Linked DNA regions of Macaca mulatta. The main gene of each other region encodes a partner of the protein of the gene in region 2 in a complex. Links are inferred from orthologs where the notes say so. Each region holds a gene or a part of one and is shown on either strand. Other genes may lie near its edges. The genes, in order: EIF4EBP1, EIF4E2 and TARS1.

Evidence for each region.
Region 1: the proteins of EIF4E2 (region 2) and EIF4EBP1 are in contact, whole or in part, in a crystal structure (PDB 5NVN), measured with the Homo sapiens proteins. The link is inferred for Macaca mulatta from reciprocal best matches to the Homo sapiens genes EIF4E2 and EIF4EBP1. Residues at the interface, in NP_004837.1 of Homo sapiens: Glu53, His54, Pro55, Leu56, Gln57, Tyr58, Tyr64, Arg66, Lys83, Gln84, Ile85, Gly86, Val91, Glu92, Gln93, Trp95, Arg96, Phe97, Ser99, His100, Met101, Val102, Leu107, Phe113, Glu149, Asn150, Leu153, Gly157, Glu158, Gln159; in NP_004086.1 of Homo sapiens: Arg51, Ile52, Ile53, Tyr54, Asp55, Arg56, Phe58, Leu59, Met60, Cys62, Arg63, Ser65, Val67, Thr68, Lys69, Thr70, Pro71, Pro72, Asp74, Leu75, Pro76, Ile78, Pro79, Gly80, Val81, Thr82, Ser83.
Region 3: the proteins of EIF4E2 (region 2) and TARS1 are in contact, whole or in part, in a crystal structure (PDB 5XLN), measured with the Homo sapiens proteins. The link is inferred for Macaca mulatta from reciprocal best matches to the Homo sapiens genes EIF4E2 and TARS1. Residues at the interface, in NP_004837.1 of Homo sapiens: His54, Pro55, Leu56, Gln57, Val91, Glu92, Phe94, Trp95, Arg96, Glu149, Asn150, Leu153, Leu156, Gly157, Glu158, Gln159, Met161, Val203; in NP_001245366.1 of Homo sapiens: Pro51, Glu52, Tyr53, Ile54, Tyr55, Thr56, Arg57, Met60, Tyr61, Ile63, Leu64, Glu67.

What each region holds. Positions count from the first base shown.
Region 1 is NC_133413.1:39,971,060-39,978,317, reverse strand, and holds the start of EIF4EBP1 (eukaryotic translation initiation factor 4E-binding protein 1), read right to left. Parts: upstream 5,030-7,258; 5' UTR 4,900-5,029; coding exon 4,755-4,899; intron 1-4,754. UniProt on the Homo sapiens protein: Repressor of translation initiation that regulates EIF4E activity by preventing its assembly into the eIF4F complex: hypophosphorylated form competes with EIF4G1/EIF4G3 and strongly binds to EIF4E, leading to repress translation.
Region 2 is NC_133417.1:137,819,728-137,826,479, reverse strand, and holds the end of EIF4E2 (eukaryotic translation initiation factor 4E type 2), read right to left. Parts: intron 5,706-6,752; coding exon 5,601-5,705; intron 3,476-5,600; coding exon 3,323-3,475; intron 3,227-3,322; coding exon 3,090-3,226; intron 1,360-3,089; coding exon 1,287-1,359; 3' UTR 1,105-1,286; downstream 1-1,104. UniProt on the Homo sapiens protein: Recognizes and binds the 7-methylguanosine-containing mRNA cap during an early step in the initiation. Acts as a repressor of translation initiation.
Region 3 is NC_133411.1:34,817,022-34,824,290, reverse strand, and holds the start of TARS1 (threonine--tRNA ligase 1, cytoplasmic), read right to left. Parts: upstream 3,956-7,269; 5' UTR 3,845-3,955; coding exon 3,788-3,844; intron 1-3,787. UniProt on the Homo sapiens protein: Catalyzes the attachment of threonine to tRNA(Thr) in a two-step reaction: threonine is first activated by ATP to form Thr-AMP and then transferred to the acceptor end of tRNA(Thr).

The DNA.
Region 1 (7,258 bases), on a different chromosome or scaffold from region 2:
AGCGAGACTCCGCCTCAAAAAAAAAAAAAAATACAAAAATTAGCCATGTGTGGTGGCAAATGCCTGTAATCCCAGCTACTTGGGAGGCTGAGGCAGGAGAATCGCTTGAACCCAGGAGGCGCAGGTTGCAGTGAGCCAAGATCACACCACTGCAACCTACGCTCCAGCCTGGGTAATAAGAGCGAACCTCTATTTCAAAATAATAATAATAATAACAACAACAACAATAAAAAGGAGTCTGGGGATTGGAAGGAGTCCGGGGTGCTCTACATCAGGAACCCCCCCCCACCAAATCTTTAATAAGGGACACAGTGTGGAATGCTTCCAACACTTTAAAAATTTTATTTATTTAATTTATACCTACAGTCTCATTATGTTGCTCAGGCTGGTCTTGAACTCCTGGCCTTGAGTAATTTTCCTGCTTCAGCCTTCCTAGTAGCTGGGATTACAGGTGCGAGCCACTGCACCTGGCTCCTTCAAACACTTTAAAAGGAAGCTCAGGTAAATGTGAGAAGAGGGTCCATTGTTTCTCCCTCACTGCATTAATGTCCAAGCTCTTTTAACCCATCCTTAATAATAACTTCTTCCCTCTATGTGACTAAGGCCTCAGGACATGGGCTGTGCTCTGGCTTCGATGCCCAGCCTACGTCCCCCCTCTTCCCAGCACCGCCTCTTTCATGTCCAAAGACTTGGGAGCTGCTCCAAGGTAAGCTTCCCAGGCACAGACCTTGTTTGCTTAACCAAACAGGGTGCCATTAACACCTGCAGCTCTACCTGCTCACCTCGGATTCACCTTATCCAGGTACGAGTCTTTGGCATAACTGCCACCCAAGCCTGTATGTAGGCTTCAGAGTCAAACATGCAACACGGAGCTGGGAATGTGGAGATCGATAAGGGAAAGTTTCTTTCTGATCCACTCAAAGGTTCTGCTGGCTAATGGGTTGTTTATGGTGTTGCTGGATATTTCTAAGACTCCAAAGACTCAAATATTCATACATGACACTCCCTTCAGCAAAATTCTCTTAAGTACTCCGGACAGCTAACCTCAGCAGAGCCTCAGTGTACAAATGGTTAATGACCATGGAAAGCAAACTGGAGGCCGGGTGAGGTGACTCATGCCTATAATCCCAGCAGTTTGGGAGGCTGAGGTGGGAGGATTGCTTGAACCCAGGAGTCTGAGGCCAGCCTGGGCAATACAGAGAGACCCTGCCTCTACAAAAAAATCAAAAACTTAGCAGGGTATGGGGGCACGTGCCTATAGTCCCAGCTACTTGCAAGGCTGAGGCAGGAGGATCACTTGAGCCCAGGAGTTTGAGACTGCAGTGAGCTATGTTCATGTTACTGTACTCCAGCCTGGGTGACACAGTGAGACCCTGTCTCAGGGAAAAAAAAAAAAAAAAAAGGAAAGCAAACTGCAGTCACAGGAACGGAGATAGCGCAACCCAACTCTGCTTCTTTCCCTCCAGGGACGATCACTTGATGGCCATTCCCAGCAGGAGTGACTGGTGGGCACTTACTCCAGTGGTTTTTCCTGAGAAGCTGACAGTCCCTATAAGTAAGCAGGTGCAGACAGCCATACAGACACTCTATCAAAAGCCTGACTCTCCACACCATGATTTAGAGACAGATGCTGAGCCCAACCTCAAGGTTTACCTGGATGGAGTCATCATTTTTTTTTTTTTTTCCGCCAGACTCCAGAGATCTGAAAGGTGAGGGAAGTTACGTTCCACTAATTCCTGAGTACTCAGAGTGTGGTATATGCACCAATCACTGAGAGCTAGTTAGAAATGATGAATCTAGGCTGGGCATGGTGACTCATGCCTGTAATCCCAGCACTCTGGAAGGCCGAGGCAGGCAGATCACTTGAGGTCAGGAGTTTGAGACCAGCCTGGCCAACACGGTGAAATCCCCGTCTCTGCCAAAAAATACAAAAATTAGCTGGGCATGAGTGGCGTGTGCCTGTTGTCCCAGCTATTGGGGAGGCTGAGGTGGGAGGATCGCTTGACCCCGGGAGGTGGAGGTTGCTGTGAGCTGAGATCATGCCATTGCACTCCAGCCTAGGTGACAGAGTGAGACCCTTCTCAAAAAAAAAAAAAAAAAAGAAAGAAAGAAAAAAGAAAGAAATGCTGAATCTAGTCCCCACCCCCACCTACAGAATCAGAATATGCACTTAAATGAAGCCCCCAGTTATCCTCAAGCACCTGGAAGGTTGAGACGCAGTATTCTGCTCTGGAGCAAAAGGGTCCTGCGATGTGACCATTTCAGCTTCTCTGCCCTAGCAGAGGTGGGCTGAGGTGGGCTTTGGAGGAAGAGTTCACACCTTGGCTAATCGAGGCCGACCAGGCTTGCTTGACTTTAGTGGAAGTAAGCCGGGTTTCCCTGGCTTAGGGACTGTGAGCTGTACCTGGATGACCCAAAGAGTGAGCTGGCTTTAGGCTCCTGGCACTGCTAGCTTCTTCCAGTGATCTCAGAAACATGCTATGCCCTGATGCAGAAGCCCCTTCCCCACTCCCCCTACTGTTAAAGACCTTCGGCCGGGCGCGGTGGCTCAAGCCTGTAATCCCAGCACTTTGGGAGGCCGAGACGGGCGGATCACGAGGTCAGGAGATCGAGACCATCCTGGGTAACACAGTGAAACCCCGTCTCTACTAAAAATACAAAAACTTAGCCGGGCGAGGTGGCAGGCGCCTGTAGTCCCAGCTACTCGGGAGGCTGAGGCAGGAGAATGGCGTGAACCCGGGAGGCGGAGCTTGCAGTGAGCTGAGATCCGGCCACTGCACTCCAGCCTGGGTGACAGAGCGAGACTCCGTCTCAAAAAAAAAAAAAAAAAAAAAAAAAAAAGACCTTCAAAAGGAGGGGGATTTGCTGTGGTCTGTCAGCCCCCTGCCTACTCCCCACTTCCCAACCCAAAGTGAAAAGTGGATTCAAAGTTCATATATTTTATGTTTATTATTTATTTTAGAGACAGGGTCTCGCTCTGTCACCCAGGCTGGAATGCAGTGGTCAATCATAGCTCACTACAGCCTCCAACTCCTGGGCTCAAGCGACCCTCTGGCCGCAGCCTCTGTAATAGCTAGGACATCTTTTTTTTTTTTTTTTTTTTTTTTTTTTTTTTTTGTAGAGATGGAGTCTCACTATGTTGCCCAGGCTGGTCTTGAACTCCTGGCCTCAAGCAATTCTCCTGCCTCGACTCCCCAAAATGCTGAGATTACAGGTGTGAACCTTGGTACCCGTGCCAGAAGTGCCTATAAACAGTATCTGTGGCTTCCAATTTGACCCAACAATCCAGCAATAAAAGGCGCAAAAAAGGGCTACCTGTGCCTTCAGGCCAGCCTCAGGGCCCACCCTGAACAAATCCAGCAGACACTTACACCCTCAGTTGAAAGAAGTCCAAAATTGTCAGGAATTGTCCTGGTAGACCATTGTGACAGGGACAAAGGAGAACAGCATGAACTACAAAAGACCCAGCAAGGGAAAGAGGATGAGTCGGGAGTGGCAATAAGAGCCCCTGCGAGCTTTTCCTTGGCTCATTTCTAATAGAAAATGAAGCATTCCTCCCTTCTCTGCCTGGTTGCTATTTCTTGTCCAATCTGGGAAAACGGTGTGACAATGGGCAATAGACACGTGTTCAAGCTCTGGGGCCTCAATGCCCGGCTCTGTAGAATAAGGCGGCAGGGCTGGACAAGATCCCTAACCGTTCTAACAGTGTATGTTTTGGATCAAATAGCTGAGGACCTCGGATCCGGCCGTGCATGCTGCTGGTAGGACAGCTGCCTGAGAAAATAAGCATGTGGCCCCTGCCCGCCACCGAGTGAAGCGCCAGGATCTGTCGCGTTTTCGAGTAGTTTGGAAAGCAGCGTGGAGGAGATTGAAGGGAGAGAAGTCAAAGGGGTGGGGGCAGTACGAGGATGGGAGGGGAGTGGAGAGCCACGAGGATTTGTTTCATCATGCAAACAGGCGCGTAGGTTTCATCAGCGTCTGTGCGCTGGGGTTGCGGGGCTGGGAGGGAATGCCAGGCTCCTGAGGGCAGCCTGAGGCTGCCCCCCCACCCCCGCACCCGTGCCAGCTCAGCTTCCTCTTCCTCATCCTCTCCCAGGGAGGTCACACGGTGCCTCCTCCTCTCCCCGGACAGAAGAACGTGTTTTTCTGCACAGCCCTGCCCGTGGCGCCAGGCCCCCCCGCGGAGATCCCACTCGCGAAAATGGGGAACGTGCCACAGGTGCCCGGGAGGCTCTGCTGGAGCAGGAGAGCACCCCCACATCCAAACCTCCGTCAGAGCGCGCGTGTCCAACGCAAAACTAGGGGTGCTTCGGAAAGGAAAAAGGGCCCTGCAGGAATCATTTATCCCAACAGATAATACCCATCCCATAAAAACACCAGGCCAGGCCTCTCCTGGATCGTGGGCCACCCTGACTCCGCCCTATCCTGCCTCGGGAGCGCCCCCAACACCCACAAGGGGCAGCACAGCTCGGCATGTGGCAGTCCTGGAAGAGTGCGTGTTTGTTAGGTGTCAGCTGTCTGACACCTAACAGAAAGAGGAAACGAACGGGGCAGTTTGCAACCTGGGTCTGGACGACGCACTCAAGAGGGCAGACGGGCGGCCACTTCCATGACCCTCGATATCTCCCCGATGCCCCTTCTCCGTTCTTTCCAGTCACAGCGCCCTTGAGCCTGGACACCCGGTCCAATCCGCGATTCCCGATCCTCCCGCCCGCCCAGGAGCCGGCCAGCTGCGTCCCCAAGCCCGCGCCTACCTCCCGGGGTGGTGCTGAAGAGTGTGCCGCCGGGGGTCGTGCTGTAGTCCCCGGGCGGGAGCTGCACGCCGTCGCCGAGCACCACCCGGCGAGTGGCGGGGATGGCCCGACTTGGGGTCTGGCTGCAGCTGCTGCCCCCGGACATGGTCTCCTGTGCGCTGCACCAGCGAACCTCTCGCTGCCCTCCCGCGCCTCCAGCCTCGCTCCGCCTAGCCGGGTCCCGCTCAGCCTCGCCCCGTCCCGCCCCGCCCCAGGACGCCCCTTCCGCCTCTCCCGCCCACGCCCCTGGGATTTGTAGTCCGCGCCGCAGCCCCACCCAGCTCCAGGACGTTGCTTCCACGTGGGATCCCCCGCAGCCCCCCGACCCACTCACGCCTGCTCACGGGCTCTTCCGCACGGGCGCCGGCGCCGCCCCGCAGCGACTGCCCCTCTGTCCTGTGTCCCTCCCCGCCACGTTGGCAGGGATGGGGGTGGGGGTGGTGGGCGGGATAGCTCGCCTAAATTAATCCTTGGCTGGGTTGGGGGCGGCGACTCAGGACCGCGCGGAGATCCGAGCTGACCCGGCCCACTGCAGGAAGGCCCGGTTTCTGCCTTAGTACATCAGGCCCGGTGTACCCTCCGGCACTCCCTGTTTCGTGCCTTAGTTCCTCAGATGAGAAAGTGGGGATTGAGTGGTCATGCTCACCCCCTCCCCCGCCTCAATTTCTTGACCTTGATGGGGGTGGGGATGGTGGGGCTAACAATTCTGTTCCCGGCCTTTAGACAGGGTGTGGGAGGAGGAGTGAACCAACCAGCGGCGTCCTGGGAGTTAAATTTAGAGCTAGGGGCGCGGGGGTAGGGGGAGAGGGAAGGGCGTAGGAGAGGGGTAAGAGTTTGTCAAAGAGGTTTCCCGATAACTCCTGAATTGGGTCCAACGCCCACCCCACTGCCTGAGATTTAGTAGGTACTCCTTGGATGGATGGATGGAGGGATGTTCAAGGGGAGAGAGAAAAATGCAAGAAGGACCGAGGATGGAAAAGCTTGTTGGGTTTGAGAAGTTCTTAGCATTGTGGGCACATGTTGTGGGGAAGAGGGTGAAGAAAGTTTAAAAGGGAAATTGGGTGGTGCACCTGTAATCCCCACTACTCAGGAAGCTGAGCTGGAGGATGCTTGAGCTCAGGAGTTTGAGGCTCCAGTGAGTGTGATCACACCACTGCACTCCACCCTTAGTGAGAGACCCTATCTCTAAAAAATATATAATAATTTTTTAAAAAGGAAATTGGGGTCAGGTCATTGAGTTTTTCAAATCATGCCAAAGTGCTTGGACTTTGTCTTAGAAGGGCAGGAGAGATCAGAGATTTTTTTTTTTTTTTTTTTTTTTTTTAAGGCTGGAGTGCAGTGGCGCGATCTTGGCTCACTGCAAGCTCTGCCTCCCGGGTTCACGCCATTCTCCTGCCTCAGCCTCCCGAGTAGCTGGGACTACAGGCGCCCGCCACTGCGCCCAGCTAATTTTTTGTATTTTTAGTAGAGATGGGATTTCACCGTGTTAGCCAGGATGGTGTTGGTGTCGATCTCCTAACCTCGTGATCCACCCGCCTCGGCCTCCCAAAGTGCTGGGATTACAGGCGTGAGTCACCGCGTCCAGCCCAGAGATCTTTTAAGCAGGGGGATGACATGATTTGAGTTGTTTTTTTTGAAAGATAACTAGTAGCCAGTGGAGTTTCAGGATGGGCCAAGGAGGGCAAGGCCTGAGATAGGGAGACCTGTTGAATTTGGTCTCACTTTTGAGGGAAACTTTAGGCCTACAGTGGCTTAAGACAGTAGCCGCCAGCTACAGGTGCACATTGAGCACTCCAAATGTGGCCAGTCCAAACTGTCACAAGTTTAACATACACACCATATTTCAAAGACTTAGCATGAAAAAAATAATGTAAAATGCCTGAATAATTTGTTTCTATATTGATTGTATGTTGAACTGATAATATTTTGAGTATATTGGGTTCAGAAAATTACATTAAAAAATTAATTTTGGGCCAGGTGCAGTGGCTTACGCCTGTAATCCCAACACTTTGGGAGGCCGAGGTGGGCAGATCACGAGGTCAAGAGATCGAGACCATCCTGGACAACATGGTGAAACCCTGTGTCTACTAAAAATACAAAAAAAATTAGCTGGGCATGGTGGTGCGTGCCTGTAGTTCCAGCTTACTCGGGAGGCTGAGGCAGGAGAATCGCTTGAACCTGGGAGGTGGAGGTTGCAGTGAGCCGAGATCACACCACTGCACTGCAGCCTGGTATCAGAGCAAGACCCCGTCTCAAAAGAAAAAAAAAAATTAGGCCGGGCGCGGTGGCTCAAGCCTGTAATCCCAGCACTTTGGGAGGCCGAGACGGGCGGATCACGAGGTCAGGAGTTCGAGACCATCCTGGCTAACACGGTGAAACCCCGTCTCTACTAAAAAATACAAAAAACTAGCCGGGCGAGGTGGCGGGCGCCTGTAGTCCCGGCTACTCGGCAGGCTGAGGCAGGA
Region 2 (6,752 bases):
AACCAATTTTGGATAGGTAATAAACAAAGATGCAATGACACAAACACCCCTAGAATATTGAGCCCACAGTGCTAATCCTAATAGGTGTTATGCAGGATCTTGGGCCACATGGAGATCAGGGGTAAGTCAGGATGGTACAAGCACAGGGTATCACTGCCAAAGTGGAACAGCCACTCTGGAAAACTCAACCTTAAATCCACAGCCACTTTCACAGATCCTCTCAGGCCGACTGACCCAGTGTTTGCAAAAAAAAAGATTCTTTATTATGTTTTTGGTGGTAGCTCCTAAGAAAACCTAAAGTAGCATGAGGCTTGCTGAAACTCTACATGCAGGTTAGGGGCCTAAAGGCCAAGCTGCAGCACATACAAGCCAAAGCCACAAAGCACACAAGGGGTCCATATGTGCTACGGTCAGATATCCTACAGAGCAAACTCACACGGGATGAAGACGTTTCCCTACCCCAGATCCTGATGTGCAGTAACACCGGGCCCAGGAGAAAGGGAAGGGCTATAACCCTGAGATCTTGCAAGCAGGGCTAACTCAAAGAGGAAGATGACCTGGCTCTAAAGGGAAAGCAGAAGGGAGAAGGCTAGAAAAGAGCTGTGGCTTGGGCAGCTTTGGCACCAGCAAGAAAACCCCATTAGCACAAAGCAAGGAAGCTATATACATACAGCCACACAGACGGAAGCAGGGATTTACCTCCAAGCAAGAAATTTCTTTGAAGTAAAGGCGAATGGAAGTCAGCGAAGCAAAGGCCAAGGATCCCCCTTTCCAACCTGAACAGACTTTCAAGCTGAATTCTGTATCAGAAATCACTCTGTTCTGGTCATCGGCGTGACTAGATGGGACCTCAAATTTAAGTACCAGAAAATAGGGTCTTATTTTGAAAGCTAGATGTCACCTTATTATGTCAGGCCTCAGCAGTCCTGGAACAAAATACCACATGACACTACACAATGGGCTTATGGAAATGAGGCTGCATTCCCCGGATGGCCCTCCATGGAAAAGTCTGTGCCATCCCTTAATATGGTGACAGTCAGTCCGAAAGGCCACATCTTTGATGCACCATAAAGAGCAAGAGCATGAGACAAGCTAGTTTAGCACCATTTATTAAGTGATCTCAGCTGTTGTTGTAGCTGCTGTGTGTCAGCCTGTTCTTAAAACATAAAATGCTCTTCCAATTCCTCTTGTCCAGGACAGAAGGATCTTCCAGGTAGCACGCCAACAGAACAAGAGACTCCGATGACGCCAGCTTCAATGATGGTGCCATCCAGAGAGGGAGAGGGTCATGGCACATTCAACCGCGGCTTCCAGAGGTTTTGAAAAAGGAGCCTTTGGGGGCCCAGCCTGCCTGGCATTCTAGTGGAAGTGCAAAAGGTTGGCTCATTGGGAAAGGAAAGAGAGGGGGACGCAAGGGAAAGTAGCATCTGGGTCTCAAAGAGGGCTGGTTTTCTGGTCTCTACAGCTATAGGGCTGAAGTCCCAGAGGCAGACCTCTGGATAAAGCAGGGAGCAGCAGGCCAGTCTTTCTAGCAGACTAAGGCAAAAAGCCCACAGGCTCTCCTAAACTCTGTCAGGACATGTACATATATATCTATAAAAGTCACAAAGAACTGCCTTATGGTATTAGAAAGGGAGAACAGCAGAGAAGGGGAGAACTGATGAAAAATACCTCTTTCCCTCTCTTATCCAGGTGGAAAACTTATTTTGGGGGTGAGTGGGAGTGGGGGATATTTAGAAACCTTGAAAACAAGAATCCTAGAAAAAGGTATAGATCTCTCCAGCCTGGACTGAATGAGGCTAGAGGTCAGAAACTACTTCTATCCCAGAACAGAGAATAAGAAAAATGTGCCTAGAGAAAAACAATGCTAACACAGGACTGCTAAGGCAAGCAACCAGGGCCAAGGCTGGCTAATAACTGTTGGTGACTATGATGAGTCATGCCAGCCGTTTGATCACGGACCAACTCCCATAGCAGTGTTCCCACTTAAAAACTGGTACTTAGCTGGTTTAAGCCAACTCCACTCATAACATTATCTGTGAATGCATGGGAAAGAGATTCCCAAACGGTCTGTCTGCTGAACATAATCGCTGGGCTCACTACTAGTCTTCAATAATAACAACATGATGATATTCTTACTAATGATGATGATGATGATAGCAATACTACTACGTGGCCCTGTAAGAGCATTCTCCATCTGAGGACCCTCAGTTAAAGATTAAATCAGCCTCACAATAGCCTTGTTAGATAAAGTACTGTCTCCCACTTTACAGATGGAGAAACTGAAGCAAAGTTGCAAAGACGCTTGTCAAAGGCACATATTGGTACGGGGCCATAGGACAGAACTAAACCTAAGAGTCCTAACTCTTAGCTGGCTAGCTCTCCCTCCAGCTTTGAGACAATCTGACAGCCACTCCCCACACTTTTTCACAATAGCCTGAGCTTACTTCTGACACTCAATCACTGAAGGAGCAAGCCTAACAGTGATTCTCACTGTAGACAGAAAGCTCTATTTCCCGTCCTAGGGAGACTGCAAAGCTTATTTTCCCTGTGGCCATCATGCTTCCCTTTGATTCTGCTCTCTCACACACACACTATCCCCCTTCTTCTATGAGTCAGCTCTATACACAAGGAAATGGAGTCATTCCTGATAAGTAGTCAGTATCCCAGGACAAAGAAAACAGACTGAAGCTAACAAGTTAAAAAGACATGCAGAAGTGGGGTGAGGGTGGGCAGGGTGAAATTATCTTAAAAAACAGCAAGAAAAAGAAAAGCACTTGTCTTTCATTTTAAGATAGTGGTTAGAATATGAAAGACAGGACAGCCTGTAGAAATTAAGCAAGCCCAGGCAGTGCAACTGGGTTTCTGCAGACAGGCTCTCTCTGCTACAAAGCACCTGGTAGTATAGGTGGCAGGGAGCCTCGCTGACAAAGAACTGCAGCAAGTAGCCAGAAGCCCTGGAGGGAAGGCCTGGTCTGTCCCTTCTCCACAAGTAAGTCTCCTGTCCGGTCATATTCCTCTGGGCCCAACTACAGATCTACTTCTGCTAAGCTTAGGGACACATCCTCCCATAACCCCCCAACACGTACTTGATGCTGTCGGTGTGAGTTTTGTATTCCATAATGGTGTTGGGAGGTAGGTTAAGCACTCGCCGAAGTGTGTCCCGGATTCGGGCTGTGGTTGCTTGGTCACTGGCAGTCTTATTCCATATTGAAATAATGTCCTCCTATCAGAGGAACACAAGGAATCATCAAAGCAAATCAGAGGCAGCGAGGAGAGCAAAGGCAACACAAGAAACCAGACTGGCCCATGGGTGGCTTACCTGAAAGCGGACAGACACCACAGCCCCACAGATCTCCTCCCCAACCATGAACTGTTCCCCCAGCATGGCCAAAATGAGATTCTCCCAGCAACGGGAGGCCAAGCCCTTCCGCAGCCGAATAATCCACTTGCCACCATTTTTATTTGCATCATCCTGTAAAAAGACAGAAAGCACTGAAGTTAAAATACGGTTTCACAGTGTTTTTTTTTTGTATGAAGGCAGTAAAAAGCCAATAATCTCTTAAACACTAATAAGTCATATCATTTTCCAATTATTCAACTCTATAGAAAAACTGATGGTAGGACTACGGAGAGAAGAAATGGGGAAAAAAAGAAAAACATGGCTGGGATCCTTGGCATAAGCCATATATTAAAATGGCTTAACAGACCTTTTAAAAATAATCCCCTTTACTGGAAATACTTTAGGAATCAAAATGAAATGATGTCATATTTCAAGCACGGATCATCCCTTCACTTGCTAAAAGTACTGAGTGTCTGCTGGGCGTGGTGGCTCACGCCTGTAATACCAGCACTTTGGGAGGCCTAGGCAAGCGAATCACGAGGTCAGGAGATCTAGACTAGCCAGGCTGACATGGTGAAATCGCATCTCTACTAAAAATACAGAAACAAAATTAGCCGGGCGTGGTGGCGGGTGTCTGTAGTCCCAGGTACTCAGGAGGCTGAGGCGGGAGAATGGCGTAAACTTTGGAGGCAGAGCTTGCAGTGAGCTGAGATGGCACCACTGCACTCCAGCCTGGGCAACAGAACAAGACTTTGTCTCAAAAAAAAAAAAAAAAAAAAAAAATACTGAGTGTAACTACATACCAAATACACAGTCATGAAGCCCCAATCTAGTTTTTTTTTTTTTTGAGACGGAGTCTCCCTCTGTCACCCAGTCTGGAGTGCAGTGGCATGATACCGGCTCACTGCAACTTCTGCCTCTCGGGTTCAAGTGATTCTCTAGTCCCTGTCTTCTGAGTAGCTGGGACTCCAGGCGCATGCCACCATACCCTGCTAATTGTTGTATTTTTAGTAGAGACAGGGTTTCACCATATTGGGCAGGGTAGTCTCGAACTCCTGACCTCGTGATCTGCCCGCCTCGGCCTCCCAAAGTGCTGGGATTACAGGAGTGAGCCACTGTGCCTGGCTGAAGCCCCAGTCGCTACTTAGATCCAGTCTAGTAGAACAGACAGGCAAGGATATTAATTACAGCAATGCTACTGTAATTATAAGTGCTGCTGTTAACAGATATACACACTATGTTAAGGAAGAACAAGACAGTTGGAAACAGTCAAGAAGCGGGTCTTTTTTTTTTTTGAGATGGAGTCTTGCTGTGTTACCCAGGCTGAAGTGCAGTGGTGCAATCTCGGCTCAGTGCAACCTCCACCTCCTGGGTTCAAGTGATTCTCCCGTCTCAGTCTCCCGAGTAGCTGGGATTACAGGTGCCTGCCACCACACCTGGCTAATTTTTGTATTTTTAGTAGAGACGGGGTTTCACCATGTTGGCCAGGCTGGTCTCAAACTCCTGACCTCAGGTAATCTGTCCACCTTGACCTCCCAAAGTACTGGGATTACAGGCATGAGCCACCAAGGCCTGCCAAGAAGTGGGTCTTAAGGGCAATAGGAGTGAGTCAGGAAAAGCAGGCGAAGGGCACTGCGGGCACTGGAAAGAACATGTCTGCGCAAAAACTGACAGGAGGGTCCACCTGCAAGGAAGGGAAGATTTAGAGATAATGGGAGATGAGGCTTGAAAGGTAAATGAGATGCAAGATCATGTGAGCAATGAGGAGCTGTGTAAGTTGGGCGGCGTGGATGTGACCACATGTGTCTACTCAAAAAATGCCATGGCATCAGAATAGAAGATGCATTACACCAGGGTGCAGTCGAATACTGGCTCTGCAAACAGTTCTAGGTCTTCAGTTACTGCCTTTAAGCTTATTTTCCTACCCACTTTAATCATATGTGTACTATGTAAAAATATTACACGCATACACAAACAAGTTCTATAGGGATAAAAGTAACTGAAAACAAAAATCCTTTAATGTTCTAATACCATTTTAGTCATAAAACAGTCTTTAAAAAACACTCAGCACCAACCCACACAGACAAAAAAATGGCATCAGTGCATTTCTCTAGAGGCTCAGGTTCCAAGGATATACTGGAGAGTGATGCAGTTTTGAGAGAAGACTTTAAAATACTTTTAACCTTGGTAGGCTAAGAGACAAAACAAAAAAACCCAAACTTGCTCAAAAAAGCAGTCAGAGACCATTAGTCCTTACCTCCCACATGGGTTTAATTCCTTCTTTAAAGAGATGGAAGTCACTGTGGCCTGTCAGGTCCCCGGGACGTACCATGTGGCTATAAAACCTCCAGAACTGCTCCACCTGCAGAGAGAAGACCCCACAGTAAAAAAGATGTGTCTTGTATTTTTCTTTGAATGCATCCCGAAGTTGAAATTTAGTTAAGAACATAAGCATGGAAGACACTATACTACAGGCTGTCCTTTTCAGAGGACTCATTTTCATGTGTGGCACTGTGAGGGAAGACATATTAGAAGAAAAGTGTATCATCTAGTTTCACGAAAGAAAAAATGTAACATTAGCAATACAAGAATAAAATCTTTGATGAGAAATGCAAGCCTGAGCCAGGAGCTTTAGTTGGTGAAACCATGTTAATACGCACTCTCCCACTCAAGCCGCAGGACAGTCATCACATGCAGTAAGAGGACCAGGTTTTTGCACAATGGAAACTCTTTAGCCTTGAGGTATATTAAGTGCCACACAGCCTCAGCCTGAATCCATTTTTTAGAACCAAATCACTTACTGATCAAAGATTGTTTCACTGGCAAATATAGCATTTGCTGAATGAAATACTTCTTAGACCTGTTTAGTTACTAAGCATAAGTGATAGAATCAACCACTTGTACCACACATACTACTCTACACCATGGTGCTGTTGCTAAAGTCCAGGCCCATCCAAAATCGTACAGGACTTAGCTTCTCATAGCTAGGGTTTAAGGCCTTCTTCTTAGCTAGAAAAATTATGTTTCTCCTTGCTGCTCCTTCACAATCCCATGAGAAAACTAGATTTATATTTTTCTATCAAGTATATGCTTATTTGTATTCATCACAGTAGTCCCATTTTTCTCATTAGTGTCACCTCCCCCCTTAAAAAAAAAAGAAAAAGAAAAAAAAAAGAGACAGGATCTGTGCAGCAGTATGATCATAGCTCATTATAGCTTCTAACTCCTGGTGTCAAGGGATCCTCCTATCTCAGCCTCCCAAGTAGCTGGGACTACAGGCTCATTAGTGTCTTGATAGGACAGATTATTTCCTTATTCACAGAGGATACCTAGTAAGTACTGGCCAGTGAAGAGGCACACTTTAGGAGGAAAGAAAAAACACGAACACTCTGATGAGAAATAGCTGGTA
Region 3 (7,269 bases), on a different chromosome or scaffold from region 2:
TGCCCATGAATTCCACCAGTGTTACCAAAAGCCATGGAAGAAGCAAATATAAGGCCCAATCCCTACCATGTGTAAACCTAGTCTCTCCAGGGAAAGTAAGGCATACATGTGTGAGAAACTCCCGGAGAAGAAAAGAACAGTAGTAGCGCTATGATTAGACGTCAAATAAGCTAGGACTAGTGTAAGAACTTTAAAGGATGGAATGCATTTCAACAGGTGGATTTTGAGAATAGAGGCAATGTGTCCTACGTGTACACATAAACTTGTTGTCAGAAACGTTAAAATTTAAAGAGAGAAAAAATGACTAAACCAGGCTGATTAATGAAGGATTGTTTTAGAAAGTAATACAAGGTAAGACAGACTAATGCTCACAGAAGAACTAAAAGTTACCGTAAGGAATACAGGCTTCAATTAGAAGTAAGTGAAGTCATACAAAGTTTTAAAGTAATAAATCCTGTGCCAGGAATGTAAAGGGGGGGATTTCATTTAGTTTGCATGTTTGTGACCTTTAGTTTTTTAAAGTTTTAAGATACAATCCATATATCATACAAGTTACCCATGTAAAGTATACAATTCAATGGTTTTTAGGTATTCACTGTTGTGCAACTATCGCTACCATCAATTTTAGAGTATTTTCATCACCCTCAAAAAGAAACCTTGTACCCATTAGCAGTTCACTCCCTGTTGCCTTCAACTCCAGACCCTGGCAACCATTAATCTAGTTTCTGTTTCTATGGATTTGCCTATTCTAGGAATTTCATATAAATAGAATCACACATTACGTGGTCTTTTGTGACAGGCTTCTTTTAGTTAGCATAATAATTTCAAGATCATCAGGTTGTAACATGTATCAATACTTGTCATTGTACCTTTTTATTATCAAATAATATTCCATTGCTTACTTATCCATTTATCAGTTGATGGACATTTTGGTCACTGTCTTTTAAATCCTATAAAACGTGTTACTTGTATAATTTTAAAAAAAACTAGTTTTAAAATATGACTCCTAATTTCATGCTGAGCTAAAATTCCCCCCTACTCCACGAGTCTGGATTTAATAAACTTTAAAGGTTCATTTAGATTCAACAGATCCTTTGTCATACAGTAGAAGTGAGGTAACTAATCAAGTATACTGGGTAAAAAGAAAACTGCAGGTGTGTGCAGGTTTAAAGTTGAAAGATAATAAAATAAGTTTTATATTTCTGATAAGATTATTTGGGTTTTGATCATTTGCCAAACGAACAGGGGTAGTGACAGAGAGAGAGAGAGACAATCACCACAAAGTTTTTCTGGTTCTAAATACGGCTCCATTTTATAAACAAGAACATTGGCTCAAAGAAGCAACCTGCCCACTTGTATCATTAAGTAGTAGAGGTGGGACATTACGACAGGTCTCTCTGGAACCCTGAGGCCTATTACCTCTTTTCTACAACACTGGGAAGAGAGTGGGCAACTGTTCTCTATTTCCCTGAGTATATATGTTATGTACATCTACATACAAGTAATCTAAAATTTCAACCCAAAAATTGGGAAGCAGAACTGGATTGTTAACAGAAGCTACAGAATTACCTTTCTCAGGAATGATCTGTCCCTGACTCACTCAGAACAGCACAGGGGTTATTAGTATTTGCTATAGGATACTGGGTTTGAGAAAGGGGAAAAAAAGGGATACTTGGTTTGAGCAAGTTACTGTTCCTTTGCCTGCTTTCTCATCTGTATAATGGAGATAATAACAGAACCCAGTTCATAGCGTTATTAAGAAGATTGAATGAGGCCGGGAGCGGTGGCTTAGGCCTGTAATCCCAGCACTTTGGGAAGTCGAAGCGGGCGGATCACGAGGTCAGGAGATCGAGACCATCCTGGCTAACACGGTGAAACCCCATCTCTACTAAAAATACAAAAAAAAAAAAAAAAAGTTAGCAGGGCGTGGTGGCGGGCTTCTGTAGTCCCAGCTACTCAGGAGGCTGAGGCAGTAGAATCGCGTGAACCCGGGAGGCGGAGCTTGCAGTGAGCCGACATCGCGCGACTGCACTCCAGCCTGGGCGACAGGGAAAAAACAAAACAAAACAAAACAAAAAACAAAAGACTGGGCCGGGCGCGGTGGCTCAAGCCTGTAATCCCAGCACTTAGGGAGGCCGAGACGGGCGGATCACAAGGTCAGGAGATCGAGACCATCCTGGCGAACACAGTGAAACCCTGTCTCTACTAAAAAAAAAAATACAAAAAACTAGCCGGGCGAGGTGGCGGGCGCCTGTAGTCCCAGCTACTTGGGAGGCTGAGGCAGGAGAATGGCGTAAACCCGGGAGGCAGAGCTTGCAGTGAGCTGAGATCCAGCCACAGCACTCCAGCCTGGGTGACAGAGCAAGACTCCGTCTCAACAAAAATAAATAAATAAATAAATAAACACAAAAGACTGAATGAGTTAATTCATGGAATACATTAATACAGTGCCAAACCCGTACTTAGTACTCAAAATAAATATTAACCGTTGTATAACTATTACAGGAAGGAAAAAGTACATATTTGTTAACCATACATATTAAGTCCAATTAAGAATAGTACAGGAGAATATTTATGGACATGGAAAGCTGTTGACCACATCCTATTAAGCAAAAAAAAAAAAGTTACAAAATAGTAAAAATACCATTTTATGTGAACAAAAAACTATGTATTGTCACCATTTATCATCTAGAACTAAATTTACTTGGTTTAGAATGTGCTCCATTCAATTCCGAGTAGACAACCAAGAAAAAGTTTTGGCTTTTAAGTGACTTGTCCTGTCACAGACTTGGGATAGAGGCTCCCTTAGCTCAAGATGCCACCACTTCTCACTTGGACTATTACAACAGTTTTCTGCATGTGGCCTCACCTTCTACCCCAATGCCAGCGTGACTTTTACAAATTCAATCTTCCTGCTTAAGATCCTTCATGTATAGAATACAAGTAGCAAACATCCTTGTTGCCTAAGATCTTTCTGACTGCTGTTCCTTTAACCCTTCTGGCATATCTCTTGCAAACAACCCGAAAGACAATTCACCTGCGTGCCCCTTTTCACTGCCTTCCCTACCTTTATGTGGGAAGCCCCGTTCTGCCTGTTTTCCTGGTGAAATCATTCTTCCAAACTCAATTCGAAAGAGCCCTCCTAAGCTTCCTCTTCTGTAATACCACACAGCTGATCACAAAGCACTAGGGCTGTTCTCCTGTCTCTTACACATCAGCCTGTGAGGCCCTCAAAGTCGGGGAACTGGGCCCTACTCATCTTCCCACCTCCACCGCCCAGCTCAGTGCCGGGCAAAATGTATACTTAACCACCCAAACCTGGACAAGTTGGGTCAGATCTCAGGGACTCGGTTTTCCTTTCCTCAAAATGGAGCTCTTTACCCCCGCAGGATCTTAGGAGATTGATTAAATAAGGCTCTGCAATATGTTTCCCGCTTACAGTAAGCCACAAACCCGAGTTTGGAAGCCCCAAGCCTAAGATTCTGATTCTGTCTCCGCGTCTAACTACTGTAGATGTGAGGCTCTGAACAAGTCGCTCAATCAAGGTCTGTTTCCTCATTTGTAAAGAGAATGGACCCAGAGATGAACTGCAAGGCCCCACCCTAATTTATGAATGGACGGTTCCCAAAGGGGGTTCCGACTTTCCATGAGTCCCACCGTCCCCCACTCCTCCGACCCACGCGGTACCGGCCGCTTCCTGCTTCCTGACCCCTGCCCCCGCCGCGAGGGAGCGTCTGCACCCACGAGAGTCCCAGGCTGGTCTCTGGGTCCCACCAGGTCTGCTCACCGGCTTCTCCTCGCCTCCCATCTTCCCTGAAGGACTGCTGGCTTTCTCCTCAAACATTGGCGAACGACGAAGCGATCAGAGAACCCGAAAGCGACGGCCTAGAGGAGAAGAGCAAAGAGGCGGGTCGCAGGTGGGCTAGGGCCCGGGAACACTGCGCTTGCGCCACTTGGCCTCCACTGGACCAGCTGATGCAATCGACAGGCGCCCTAACCCCGCCCCCAACTTGCGGCGGAAGGGGCAGCCAATGGATAACGGGAGAAGACGGGCCCTGCCTCCTCTAAGCCAATGGAAAATCTTTTTGGATGACAGAGCCCTTCTAGGAAATCAGGTTGTGGCGGGTGAGGAGGAGCTACAGGCCTACTCTCCGCAGACCTTGGTCTGGACGCTTTTCAGAGTCAAGTCCCCAATGCGCTTGCGCCTTCCTCCCTTCTGCCTTTATGTCGCACAATCATGGACCTTCCCGGACACCGTAGATAATAAGTCGGTCTTGGCATAAACTTCGGCGACCTGGATACCATCTTCGACACTGGAACAAATCCAGGGATGGAGTCCGGGATTTCCTGCGGCTTCGGCGCTTTCTGACCTGGCGCGACTGCCGACTTCTCGGCACTACTCAGGTCTCTGGCTCCCTGTCTGTAGTGGTGAATCGAGCCTTCCTCATGGCAGTCCAGGCTCCCCAAGCCCCGAGTCCTAGTGATCGGGGACAAACCCTTCCTTGAACATTCTTCACTGCTAGCCGCTGCTGATCTGTACTGCCTGGGGGAGCATTTCTATAGCGCCCGCAAAAATACAATAAAGCTCACCCAAGGAAATAACCATGGATTTTCACTCCTAGGTGTGTTTGGAATCGACTGGGCTTTTAAAATTTGTGTTAGTAGGCAATTTAAAACAATTACTTATTTGAAATCAGAAGCGCAATGGGCACAACTTCACGTACGTACTCCATCACCACGTTTTGTGGATTTTTCTTTTTAAACATCAGTTCTGTTCTCTACAACTCTCTGCCTTCAGGGAACAAGGGGTTAAGAGAAGCTGCTAGAAACAATGTTACATAGCAGTTAAATATAATTGTTAACCTATAATTTTCTGCATCTAGCAAACTCAGTAATCTTGAGCTCTCTGGTTTTCATTATACTTAGTTAAAATTAAGATACAATTCAGGCAAACGTGTCTAATGAGCATAATTAAATTGTTTTACATTAGAAGGTAAGAGTAGATCCCGTTGATTCTCATTCTAATTTAAATGTGGGGAGTTAGTTTGGTCTATCTAAGCCTATTAAAATTGAATATAACTCCTGGAACATCAAGCACTACTAATAATCTAGTCTCATTATAAACTTTCTTCTAGGTCTAGTTAGTAAATGGGTTTTGACTTCTTTTATAATACAAATTAAGAGGTAATTTTGCAAACCTTGATTGAAAAATTAAGCAAGTTTTGTCTCAACACTCGACATTTATTGAACATCTGCTGTGTGATAGGTTTACATCTTCCAGGTGCTGGCAAAAATACACAAAGTGTGCTTTCGTGAAGTTTTCAATCAAGGAGATAAAATACATTTTTTAAAAACTGTAAACTTGCAAGGTAGGAGGAGAGCTTAAGCTCAGGAGTTCAAGACGAGTCTGGGTAACATAGTGAGACCTCGTGTCTACTAAAAATTAAAAATATATATATATTAGCCAAGCATGGTGATGTGCACCTGTAGTCCCAGCTATTCAGGAGGCTGAGGCGAGGGGATCACTTGAACCTGGGAGATCAAGGCTGCAGTGAGCTATGATCACATCACTGTACTCCAGCCTGGGCAACACAGCAAGACTGTCTCAAATAAATAGATAAAATAAAAAATTAAAAAATTAACTGGGTTTGGTGGTGTGCGCCTGCAGTCCTACCTACTTGGGAGGCTGAGGCAGAAGGACTGCTTGAGTCCAGGAGTTTGAGTCTGTAGTGAGCTATGATTTTGCCACTGCACTCCAGCCTGGGTAATGGAGTAAGACCTCATCTCAAAGAAAAAAGAAAAGAAAACGACTGTTACTGAAATCAAAGTGTCAGCGACAGAGCAGTAAAAAAATATAGATAGATAGATAGATAGATAGATAGATAGATAGATAGATAGAGATAGATAGATATAGTAAACTTGCTTAGCTCTAAATACACACATAGTGAAAGAACAAGTTGAACCAGTAAGTTCTACCAAGAACTGCATGAAACTACCAGCACATACTATTGTAAATGCCAAGAGGAGAGGTCCCCTTAGCCCTCTGAAGTTTGGCTGAAAATCACTGACATGAGGTAAATTAATAGAAAAAACATACAAATTTACTTAACATGTATACACAGGAAGAATCACAGCATGATTACCCAACCCTCAGAGGGCTTCAGAAACTTGTGTATACAATCCCAGAGACACAGGTTATGGTAGGGAGAAGAGGAATTCTGTTGAGAGGATTACAAGGGAGAAACAGTCCTCATTTAAGGATGGCAAAAAGAAAAAGCAGAAGGCATTTCTAACAGGTTGACTGTGGTGCAGGAACATAGGGGAAGCTGTAACGGAGTTGCTAGTGTGGGAATCTCGCAGAGGTATCCCTGTAGCACAGTGCCCTCTGGTGTTAGGAAGATTTTTTTTTACTATGTGTGTATTTAGAGCTAAGCAAAGATCGCGGGAGCCTCCAGCACATCTCAGACCTAAAGCACAAAACACGGTTATGCAACTTTTGTGTATTTGCCAACAAAAAAGAAACTTCTGATTTATTCTCAGTGTTATAATTTATGCCCACTGTATTAGCCCATTCTCTGCTATGAAGAAATACCTGAGACTGGGTAATTTATAAAGGAAAGATGTTGAATTGACTCACAGTTCTGCGTGGCTGGGGAAGCATCAGGAAATTTACAATCATAGCAGAAGGTACCTCTTCACAGAGCAGCAGGAGAGAGAATGAGTACCAGCAGGGAAAATGCCAGACACTTATAAAACCATTAGATCTCATGAGACTCACTCATTATCACGAGAACAACATGGGGAAACTGCCCCATGATCCAATTACCTCCACCTAGTCCCACCCTTGACACATGGGGATTATGGTGATTACAATTCAAGATGAGATTTTTGGTAGGGACACAGCCAAACTGTATCACCCACTACCCTACATACTTTAAAATTTTTTTACATTAATTTATTATTTTTATTTTTATTTGTAGAGACAGGGTCTTGCTTTGTTGCCTAGCTGGTCTCAAACTCCTGGCCTCAAATGATCCTCTCACCTTGGCCTCTCGTGCTGGGATTACAGGTGTGAACCACCACACTGGCCTCCTACATACTTTTTAGGAAAGTGGTTGTCAATAGCTCTGCCGTGAGAGGTGAATCAAAATTCTGTGATATGCTACAAATAGTGTTACAAATAGTAGAAGTTTGTACATAACCATCTCTCTATCGGTTCAGGGGCAAAACAGTCTTCTTCATTATCAATCCTTAATTACTCATTTGAAT